Linked DNA regions of Rhinolophus ferrumequinum. The protein of the gene in region 2 purifies or fractionates together with the protein of the main gene of each other region. This does not show direct contact. Links are inferred from orthologs where the notes say so. Each region holds a gene or a part of one and is shown on either strand. Other genes may lie near its edges. The genes, in order: CRACD, CAPZA2 and KIAA1671.

Region 1 (3,747 bases), on a different chromosome or scaffold from region 2:
CTGCTGGCTGTCCTCTGAGCCACTTAAAAAACCCACCTCACTCACCTTGAACTCAGAATATTCACAACAGTCCATCCCCGGAATGGCCAGGAGGGATTTACTAACCTTATGCCTGACTAATGGAAACTTTCAAAACGATGGTATACTTCAGTTTTCTCACTTTGGAGGTCAAGGCTGTTGGGAAGACACAACAGAGTCCTGAGGAATCCGCAATGAAGATATTTCTATACTACAATATTTCTATTACTTTAGCTTTTGCTTTTTTCTCTTTATTATGTGTGACTTTTATCTGCACAATCACTTTTTGTCCCACTCAGTTCCTTAGTCTCTTCTCCCAATGAAAGATCTTACTATTGTACTCCTTTCCTGAGCACTAAGAAAATGCAATGTGAATACAGAAATTATTAAGCAGACATGGCAGAGTACAGAATCAAGAGGCTTTGGAAGTCTGTGGTCTAACTCAGGGTTTTGCAACCTTGGCACTATTGACATTTTGAACTAGATAATTCTTGGTTGTGGGACAGTCCTGCACATTGTAGACTTTTTAGCAGCATCTCTGGCCTTTACCCACTAGATGCCAGTAGTCGCACTTGCCAACTAGTTGTGACAAACAAAACTGACTCCAGACACTGCCAAACATCTTCTAGAGGACAAAATTACCCACAATGGAGAACTACTGGTTTAACTATATAATTTCTTCCTCACATCCTTTCTGTAACCCCAATAAGCAGTTAAATGGTTAAATATTTTAAAAACTCCTAGTGTTCTCCATCTTTCTTTTGTATTGTATTATGCTCTCTGAAAATCTGTCTTAACTGATAGGCAGTTAGCTATTTCAAAAGTGGAATAGTGGACTGATACCTGGTGTGAGGTGCCACACTGTTGTTGCAGCCATGTATATAGCAACCATGAACCCATATGTTTGAAAAGCAAGGGAAAAACAGCACCCTGTCTAAAGTGTGGTCTGATTTCTGAGGCTCATAAGACACCAAGTCCAGCTAGAGAGCTCTAATGTAAGCATAAGTTCTCTAGAACTCTTTCAATATTTTAAGGGTGTGTAATTTGGGATATACCTTGCTTGGCAAAATTAAAAGGCAGTAGACCAATACCTGATTTATGTAAACTCAAATTTTTTATAGAGTATGTTTTCATGTCGTTGGCAAAACTATAATATATCAACAAAAAGACTTCAGGTATATGTTGTACACAGATTTAATTTTTTACTTTGGGGAACTTCTAGTGCTACTGTAGTAAATCCAAAGGAACTTGCTCAACACTTTATAAAACTCTTCACTAGTCTTTATTTGGAATAAAGTAGGCATACTTTAGGATATGTAAGCAATGAACAATTGAATGAAATCTGTATTTACAAAAATACACAACCTGGTATTAATTAAAATGTTTATCTGGAAAAACCCAGTTGGATAAGTAACATGTACTAGATTCTCCCAGTATCAAAGTTGTTCCTTCTAAGTCATGCACCTGCATTTGAATTATTAGTCCCGTGTTTCGCATTGAGACTTCTAGCTTATTAGGGTTACCTTTCATTGTTTGCATCTTTTGTCACTAAGGATTTTTTTGCTTTGTTTTAAATTTCCTGATTAGTAACAATACTAAATGCAGCATCTTTGCATGAATAACAAAGAAAAAGATCACCAAAAATTGATTTACAAGAGTTTCATTGAAATAGTCAAAGCAAAAAGTACGAAGGAAAAGTCTCAGTGTTTCCAGTTAGGCCACAAAAGGAAAAGACAAATATTTTCCTTAAAACATCAAAGTCACTATATAATTTCATTATGGCTAGGATCAATAATGTCCAATGGCAATGTCACTGTTGTGACGTACAGCGCTCAGCAAAGCGATTCCAAACTTCTCTATTTCTGTGTGGCATCTTTAAACTTGTTCGACTCTCAGGAGTCCCAGTGCCATTTCTCTGTCGGGGCTCTGCAGGACGAAACAATCTCTGGAGTCCGGGTCGCTTCCGTTAGTCTCTGGCTCATCCAGGTAACCAAGGGTCGGATTTGCATCGCGTGGGGTCGTGACTGGCGATCGCGGGTTCTTGCTCCACGTGAGCCTCCTGTGAACCCATCGCAGTAACCTCCGACCCCACGCGTTCAGCCACACCTCGGGCCATCCCCTTACAGTGGTGGGGAGGGCAGTGATCAACCCCACGCCCTTCCCTGCGGCCGGCTCCCGGTGTCTGGGCACCTCCTGGGAGGGGAGCAGTCTCGCGCGCGCCACTGCCGGAGGGCGCAAGAGGGAACTTGGGGCGTCGGGTGCCCCGCAGCGGCGCCCGGCGGAGTAGGGACGAAGCCGGGCGGGGCCGCGGCGCGGGTCCGAGCGCCCGAGGCGCCGGTGGAGCATGTGACCACGCCGCGCGGGGCCCGGCGCGCAGTGCCGCGCGGCGGCGGCGGCGGGGAGAGCAATGGAGGCCGCGGCCGCCTGAGAGGCGGGTGCGCTGCTGGTGCTGCTGCGGAGGCTGCTGGTGCTGCGGGGCAGCGGCGGGCTGGGCAGCGGCGGGCTGGGCAGCCGCGTGTGCCGCCCGCGCAGGACCACCCATCACCAGCCAGCTGCTCTGCGGGCCACGGCGCCAGGCGGAGACCTCAGGTGAGCGCCCTGACGGCCCGCGGCGGGAGCCAGACAATGGGGGCAGCGGGCGGGCTTCTCCCCTCCACTCACGAAACCCGGGGTCGGGCCCCCCCCCGGCGCCCCGGGATCCCCGATTTTGCCCTTGCTATGGGAGCGTGGGGTCTGCGAGGCGCGCGGTGGACTTTGGGGCGGTGTCTCGGCGTGTGCCGCGCGGACCCTCCCGGAGGAACCCGCGCGCGGTGTGAGCCGTTTGGGATCCCACTCGAGGGAACCTGCGGACATGCTGAGTCCTCGGGAACTTGCCGAGAGCGTGGGACCTTCTTATTCCTTCTCTCCTTCCCGCGCCGCGGCATGCTGTCCCGGGGTCCCCGGCTGGGGTCCCGGCTGCGGGTGGGGGCAGAGCGAGACTCTGGGATCTCGGACGCTGACCAGGGTCTGGGATCTCGGACGCTAGGATCTCTGGACTCAGATCTCGGACGCTGACCAGGGGCAGCCCTCTACCCCCGCATGCGCTGCATTGCTTTGTTTAACCTCTGCCAAGCCATTTCGTACCAACTCTTGTTGCCCCAATTCTGATGAGCCCCCGGTTTGATGGCTAAGATAGGACAAAGGTTTTCTCTGTTTACCAAGGGCTGGAGCCGGGAGATTGCACGCTTCCAATGGTGTAAAATGTGTTTTCCTTATCTTCTCCCAGGGTTTCTGGCGATGGTTTTCCTGGTTCTATAACCGTCCTTTCTTGCAGAGCTCTGTAGTGGCGAGATTACACCTAATCCTACGGATACGGTGGGTGGGGTATGGCTTTTATTCATGGTTATCAGTAAACAGAAGGGCAGACGTTTACATTTTATATTAAATGTTCTCAGAATAGACGCATCGGAATCATTTGCTGAATTCTGGATTTTAAGAGCATATGTATATTTAAAGACACGTTGATTCCGTGGGTGTTGGGAGGAGGGACAAAACCTAGTAACTACGACCATGTGTTGTGAAATTTTAATAGAGTTTTATGAATAATAATCCGGAAACTGATCTGGTGTAGGGGTGTGTGTGTGTGTGTGTGTGTGTGTGTGTGTGTGTCTGTGTGTGTGTATGTGTGTTGGGGATCGTGGTGATGCAGAGGGAGTGGTTAGAATACAAAGGATAAGGCAGTTTTAGTAA
Region 2 (3,747 bases):
TATCACCTTTGCAACTTCCTACTTAGGTATCCTTGGGTGAATCTGAAACCTTATTTTACTCATCTGTGAAATGGTAATATAACCTACCTCAAATTAACAAATTTATAAAAATGAACGTATTGTCTAACTGAGCCAGATACATGCAAAGTATGGTACTACATAAATATTAACAGATTCATTTCCTTACATCTGCAATCAATAATGGAAATTCCAAGAGCTTAAAAGTCTTAAAAGCGTATTTTTGAAAATTACAATGTGGCAGAAAGAGCAACACAATTTAAATATTAGCTTAAAAATATCACCTTTAAATCCTCTGATTCCATACCAAACATCTTCCTCCCAAAAGATTACAAGAATATTTCTAAAGTGACAATATTAGAATTTAACTCAAAAGTTTAGTCAGTATTTTTCTTAGATTAGTAAATATAGCTATGAAATCTATATGCAAAATATCTATAGAATAGTGTTACAAAACTCAAAACAAAAACAAAAACGAATTCCTTCAAATTAGAATTTTCATTCATTTCCTCTTAGAACATTGCGCTGGGCAAGCTTAGAGAATTAGACACCCCCCCCCCTGTATGGAGCTTAGCGCACAGAGAGTGTGGCACAGAGAGTGTGGGGTAATACGGAGTGTTGTCACCTCATCACTATTTTAGGCCTTCCCAACACCTGGCTGGTCTGTATTAGCTTCCACACTGGGTACTCTCTTCATCGCGATTTCTAGCGACTTGAGCTACATCCAACCACTTAAGAACGGTGGAATAAAAACATGACAATCTTTTTAACAAACTTTTCAGCACTACTTAATTTTAAATGTGTGTGTGTGTACAAGAGCATACATTTTCAGTTATCAACATATAGTGATTTACCAATGATACACATGTGAAAACTGCACAGCAACTTTGTGTATACAGGGACCTCTCTGCCTACCGGGTCCCTGGGTTATGGAGAATCTTGTTGCGGTCCTCATTTTGTTGTTTTATTATAACTTTCACCAAAAAGCACAGAGAAAAAAGATTTCCAACAGTAAAGATGAGGCTGACCTCAGCACCGACATAAGGAGATGGAACATTACATTTCCGTGTTAGAACACAGGATGTAAAAACACTTGGAGTGAAGAGTTCGAACTGAAAAGTATCCTTAGGCTTGGATTAGGATTTCTTAAAACACCACGTCTGTGTTTCCTACATGGCTGTACTGCTTTGGAACTTAAAAAAAACCACAATGTTAAATTAAGAGTGGACACTTCAAAAACTGCAACAACCATCTTATTTATGTCAGTTACTTCTGAATTTGAGAAACCTCAAGGTCCTTTCCAGGAAATACTCAAAATCAGTAGGGTCCCCACCCCACCTCACTGGGGAACGGGGCCTCACAGTCGCCAAAGGAAACGGCAAATAAGAGAGAACTAGTTCAATGATCAGATTTCTTATGTTAAATGCCTGAGAACTTAAGTCGTTCATCTGGTTCCAAGGCTGCCGCATCATTTAAGATACAGTAAAAGGAGTTGCACAATCTCCCCTCTTCGACAGAATTCCTAGCAGGACGCAGAGGCGCCACCAAACCAGCCCCCGAGGGCTGCTGCCAGCCTGGGCAGGAAACTACTGGGGAGGGGTCTTCTGGTGAGCAACTCCCCGGCCTCCTAGGGAATACGGAAGCTGCAAAGCCTACAGCTAAAGACGAAATAAGAAAAGGAAAAAAAATCAGAGAGAGGCAGACTGCCACCGGGAAAGGAAAAAAAGCGTCGCGAACCAGGAAGGGAAGCATTTTGCTACTGGGCGGAGGGATTAGAAGGGAGAACTCGAGGTCTGCTTCCTAAGCGATTTTTGCCTCTTACCCTTCACCCCGGCTACACTATTCAGCCAGGCCGTCAGGCTGGGCAGTGCCCTTGGGAAGCTCGCAGGCCGGCCCGCAGACCCCTTTACAGCCCCCAACCTGGCGCAGGGGCCGCTGCCCAGGCCCAGGGCGAGGGTCCCCGCGCCGCTGCCCCGCGCGACCCCGCCCGCCTGCCCGGCCGTCGCGCCAGGCGCCGCCGCCCGGCTCCCGCTTCCTATTTTCAGAGCACACACCCTACAAGGAGTGGAGCGAGCAGGCCAGGCGGAGACCTGCCCCCGCGCGGGCCTCGGGTGACTGACAGGGGCAGGCACTTGGGCGCAGCGAGGAGAGGGGGGCAAAGGCAGCCGAGGGCACAGACCAATGCCCTTCGCCGGCGGCCAGCCTCCGGGCTTATACACCAGGGCCCCGCTGGCTCCCGGGCCGACCGGCTCCGCCGCCCCCGCAGCTCTTACCTTCTCCTCATCAGACAACTGCTCCTCCAAATCCGCCATTTTCCTTCTGGCGACAAACCGCGGCGGCGGCGGCAGCCACCTGACTTCCCCCTTTCTGTGCGGTCCTCCGCGCCGCGCGCGCCCCAGCCAGGGAGGGGCCAGGAGCCCAGCCCACCGCGCACGCGCCCAGGGAGCCCCGCCTCCTTTCCCCGGCCCGCGGGGCCGGAGTGCGGGGCGCGTGCGCAGAGCCTCGAGGGGCTCGGGAGAGGGAGGAGTCGCCAACCGCCGCCTGCTGCAAGCTTGTCAGCGTGCTGGGTGTGGGATTCTTTCCCACCAGTGACCATATGGACCCAGTCTGCAACAAGTACATCCTGAGCCCTTGATTATGTTCCCATTAAGGCCTGAACTCTGCCAGCTAAAATGTGAAAAGTGTACGAATAGAAGCTTTTTAAACATTTTGTTTTTTAAAAAAAATTGCTAGAAAAACACTTAGCTTTCCTTAAAATATGCAGACAACCCAGTCCATAATTGAAAGATTGCTCTTGATATATTCATTCATTCATTCATTCAAGAAACATTTATTGGTCCTTTATGGTGTGTCGGGTACTGTATTAGTCTCTATGCATATACACTTGCACAATGTTAAGCAAAAACCAGAGAAACCTGTTTTCAAACCTACTCTGAACAGTTAGGGAAGGCACCGTACTATTGCAGAGGAATACAAAGTTATGTTTTAGACATGGATCCTACTCTTGAGAATCGGGTTGCCAGATAAAATACAGAAAACCCAGTAAAATTTGAATTTCAGATAAACAATGAATATATATTTTAAGTATAAATATGTCCCATGAAGCATTTGAGATATATTAAAAAAATGTTTTCAAATTTTATTGGGCATCAGTATTTTTCTTTGCTAAATCTGGCAACCCTACTTCTGAAGCTTAAAGTTTAGCAAGAAAGTGATGATGTAGTCAAAGCTTAACTGGCTAGGAATCTTGTTAAGATGCACTTGCTGAGGCAGCGGGTGGAAGGTGGGCTGGAGAATCTGCATTCCTAACAAGCTCCCAGGTAATGCCAATGCTGTTGGCCTGGACACCATCCTGAGCAGCAAGACCTTAGAGTTTAGACAGGAGTTAAGACTAGCCATTATGTTCTATACCTAAAACGAATGCAATGTTCTTTGTCGATAAAAATATGTATTAAAAAGACTTTATTCAGTAGAAAGTTGACAACTTTTGCACAGTGATATAACATCATCAGAAATATGTCTAGAAAGATGAATCTGACAGCTACATATAAATGACACAAGAGAATACCTTAGAGAGTTCACATGCAAAACGCTATTAATAAGTAATTTACTAAGGGTTCATAATGTGCAAATCATTGTTTCTTGTGGATGGAAAGTGAACAGAAACCATGCTGTTGAAAAGATAGTCCATTTAGGGAGAGAACTAATGGGAAGCTTGCTGAAACATGC
Region 3 (3,747 bases), on a different chromosome or scaffold from region 2:
AAGGGGTGTTCAACTGAGTGGGTCTCTAAACATAACACTAACATCTCTATCCAAATCCAATTGACCACCACCTCTCACCTGGATTTCTCTAGCAGTCTCCTCACTGGCCTCACAGCCTCCTTGCGTACCCTCTCCAATCCAGCCTCCCCACAAGAGCAGTGCAAGCTTCCCAAAACACACATCTGACCCCATCCCCCTCCCGCAGAAAAACTTCCACAACACCCACCCCACCGCCCTGGAATAAAGTCTAAACCTCTGAGAATGGCTGACCTGGCCCCCGTCAACATTTGCCAACACCGCATGCTCCCTCGTACATCCAGGCCCTTCTGTTCCCTCTTTCCGGCCCAGAACACCAACCTCTTCCCACTGCAAACTCTCCAAGAAACTAAACCCCTTGACCCCCATCCCTCACCAGCCAGAAGACATCCGCCTCTCCTCCCATTATCATAGCTCTCTCCCCTTTTAGACAATTGCCTCTTTCCACTAACCCTTCCCTTAGTGTGTGATTGCTAGCTTCCTTCTTTGACAGTGTCTTGAAATACTTAAGAATGAATGAATGAATGAATGAATGAATGAATGAATGAATGAATTCATACTTAAAATATTCTTCTGGCTTTCTTTATGGTCGAGGTGTATTCTGGTGATGCTGAGCAGGGAGAAATTCTCAGGGCCAGACAGTGGGCTGCTCTATTCTCCTGCCAAGGTCAGTCCTGAATAAAAGCCAGCCCCCAGGATCTCAAAGGGAGTGAGGCCCCTCCAGCCTCAGAATCTGGGGTGAGGGCTGCACCCCCAACTTCAAGAACCAGCACAGTTGCCTCACTGGACTGTAGGGCAAGCTGATTCCTAAAGAGCTGGAATGTAATGCCAGGAGGACAGGTCCTATGCCGCCATGGGCCATACCATTTCTATAGTGTTTGCCACATAGTAGGTGCTCAACACACACACTGGGTGACTGAATGAGCTGGCTCCTGTGCCCAGCTGAAACATGTGCCCAGGTACTATACTGAAATCCTGCACTTCTCTGGGGTAACAGCACCCTTGTCCAGCACGCAAATCCTTTAAAAAGGATTCCCCCCAAAACCACCACCAAGACCAGGGCTAATGTCTGCACAGCTCCCTAGGGAATCCCAGGGCTGACACGCCAGTGTCTGGGGGTGAATGCACGTTTGTCCAGGGGCCTCCGTGGATTAACAAAAGAAAAGCTGGGCCAAGGAAGAAGCCTCATCCAAACGCCCTGGTTACTGATTAGCCAAACCCTAGAGCTTCTCTCTGCAAGGAGGATCAGAGGGGCAATTAACCTCTTTGTAAGAAAGACCAACTTAAACATCTCTCTAATCCTGCAGTTTAAAAAGTCAGCAAGTTGGGTTTCTAGAACTTTCCCTCGGATACCGTAGGGGAAGCTCAGGGGATGTGATGTGGGAAAGGAGGGGCCACAAACGGGGACCCACTAATATTTACAGAGCCCTTACCTGTTTCATACCTATCATACCTACTAATTTTGCCAGCCAAAGACGAGAGAAGGTTGTGATCCCCACCCTCACCCCATTTTGCCCAGAGAGGAGACCTGGGCTCACAGAGGTTAAGTGTTTTGTCCAAGGTTACAAATAAGCTGCAAAGAAAAAACTCTTTCTTTGTGCAACAGGTACAGCCTTTTCCCTTCCAAAAGGTAATGGCTGCTCCGGGCTAGCGAAAGTTCAGTCGTGCGGCAGGAAGCCGTGACAACCTGGGAGGCGCGCAGGGGTCATAAGCACCGCTACCGGACTCAAAGCAGGGTTTCAGGGCGCGGCGCCCCGACTCCGAGGCGAGTGTGTGCCAGGAGGGTGTGGACAGGTCAGCCTTGGGTGGGGGTCAATGGGCCGCTTTCCTTCCCAAGTGCCACGCCTGTAGCCCCTGGCGGCGCCACCAGCGGGGTGGGGACCAACCGAACCCGCCTGGGAGCAGGGGAGATTGAGCCCTAATTCTATCAGGGTGCCTCTGCCCTGGGAAGGCGTGCGGAGGGAAGTGCAGGCCGGGCGGGGAGGGCGCATCGGGATCCCCGGCGCCCGGGGGCCCGGCGCTCTGCTCTCTCTCCACCGCCCCCGCTGCCCGCAGGATCCCTTCACCCGGGCTCCGCCTCGCTCGGCACCCGCGCTTCCCAGTGTCCACCTCTGGGGCCTCCAACCCGCACGGACGTCGAGATCCTAGCAGCTCCAGGCTGGGTACCCCGGATCTCTAGCGATCCACCAGTTCCCAGCCACCAGATCAACTCTTGGAATCCACTCCCAAGGCTTGGACCAGCGTCGTGGAAGAGGAATCAACTAGCTCCCAGTCTCCAATCACCGTCCACCGTCACCCGGGGTTGGGGACCGAATGGGACCCCAGGCCGCTGGCGCCCGATCCCCTCCTGGGACCTACTCCCAAGTCTTCAGCCGAGAAGCGCGGGATCCATTGGCTGCCCTGTGCGGGATCTTCCTGCGGGATCCACTCCCAAGTCTCGGGATCTCCCGATTTCCAAATCAAGATTTCCCCTCCCCACAGACCCGGAGCCCGGGGAGATCCACTGGGTCCCAGCCTCTTCCCCCGCCAACTTTGCCAACTTTTCTCCTGGGGCCTCAGCCGAGCAGAAACTTGGCGGCCATCGTCGGTCGCTGCCTCCCCAGCCCCCTCGCGGGCCGGGGACAGGGACGGATGGCCGGCCCCCACCCCCCGCGGCCGCCGCGCAACCTACCCTGGAGCCGCCGCCGCCGCCGGCCCGCGCCGCGCCGCCACCTGCCCGCAGCCCGCGGCACCTGCCCTCGCCGCCGGCGGCCCCGTGCAGCCTACCCTGCTGGGGGCGGGGCCTCGGGCGGGGAAGCGCCCCTGTCGCCGTGGCAACCGCGGCCGGCGGCGCCTGCGCGGAGGGCCCCGGGGCGGAGCGCGGACGGTCGGACCGGCGCTTGCCCGCTGGCTCAGGGGCCAGGGACAGCGCGGCGAGTCAGAGGTTGCGAGGCCGCCCAGGACATTCCTCCCGGAAGCGCCCCCAACCCCAGAGCTCCGATCTCTCTGCGCCCGGTTCGAAAAGTTGTTCATGAGCCCGCCCGCGTTCCCGGGGCGACCCCCAGGCCCCGGCCGGGATTCCCCGCAACGGACAACTTCCCGCCGCCCGGTCTGCGCCCCCGAGAGCCTAATGCAGCCCGGGACCTCAAGAGACGCTTGGTCAAGTCTCGCCCATTGAACCGCTTAGGCTGCGGGTGCCCGCCCGGGAGCGAGCCGGGTCTGCGCGAAGCGCTGGCGCCTCCTCGCGGCGGGAGGGGGAAGTCTGCACCTGGCCGGATCATGTTCACCTCTCTGCGGAGCCTACTGTCCGGCACGCCTGCTGCCATTGTGTTGACGTGGGGGCTGCGGGATGAGGCCTTAAACTGAGAGAATCGTAGGGAGTCGCCCCTGAGCAAGAAAAATGCCTGTTTTGCTAGCTTTCACTTATTTCAGTCCATAGATCTTTATTAAGCATCTGCGGTATGCTACGCAGGTGCTGGGAACACAGTGGGGGAGCAGCTGGCAACATCCAGGCTCTTGTGGAGCTTAGACGTTGTAAACAATAATCGTGCGAATAAATGTAATTGCATTTGTGATACGTGCTCCTAAGGAAACGTAGGGAGCATAAATAACAAGGACCTAAAATCATATGTGCATTTATTGTAAGTCAGACCTCAATAAAGTTATACAGCGAGGGGGAAAAAAAAGAACATCCCACTGTATGGCATCAGGAGAATTGTCAAGGGGGCTCTC

What was found.
Region 1: the proteins of CAPZA2 (region 2) and CRACD purify together in Homo sapiens (affinity purification with mass spectrometry; 3 studies listed by BioGRID and IntAct, counting the BioPlex papers as one, with this or other methods). This does not show direct contact. The link is inferred for Rhinolophus ferrumequinum from reciprocal best matches to the Homo sapiens genes CAPZA2 and CRACD.
Region 3: the proteins of CAPZA2 (region 2) and KIAA1671 purify together in Homo sapiens (affinity purification with mass spectrometry; 3 studies listed by BioGRID and IntAct, counting the BioPlex papers as one, with this or other methods). This does not show direct contact. The link is inferred for Rhinolophus ferrumequinum from reciprocal best matches to the Homo sapiens genes CAPZA2 and KIAA1671.

The regions. Positions count from the first base shown.
Region 1 is NC_046288.1:17,993,903-17,997,649, forward strand, and holds the start of CRACD (capping protein-inhibiting regulator of actin dynamics), read left to right. Parts: upstream 1-1,393; 5' UTR 1,394-2,004; intron 2,005-2,485; exon of another isoform or gene 2,486-2,607; intron 2,608-3,350; exon of another isoform or gene 3,351-3,372; intron 3,373-3,747. UniProt on the Homo sapiens protein: Involved in epithelial cell integrity by acting on the maintenance of the actin cytoskeleton. Positively regulates the actin polymerization, by inhibiting the interaction of actin-capping proteins with actin.
Region 2 is NC_046309.1:26,073,807-26,077,553, forward strand, and holds the start of CAPZA2 (F-actin-capping protein subunit alpha-2), read right to left. Parts: upstream 2,436-3,747; 5' UTR 2,331-2,435; coding exon 2,292-2,330; intron 1-2,291. UniProt on the Homo sapiens protein: F-actin-capping proteins bind in a Ca(2+)-independent manner to the fast growing ends of actin filaments (barbed end) thereby blocking the exchange of subunits at these ends.
Region 3 is NC_046308.1:15,425,512-15,429,258, reverse strand, and holds the start of KIAA1671 (uncharacterized protein KIAA1671 homolog), read right to left. Parts: upstream 2,767-3,747; 5' UTR 2,708-2,766; intron 1-2,707.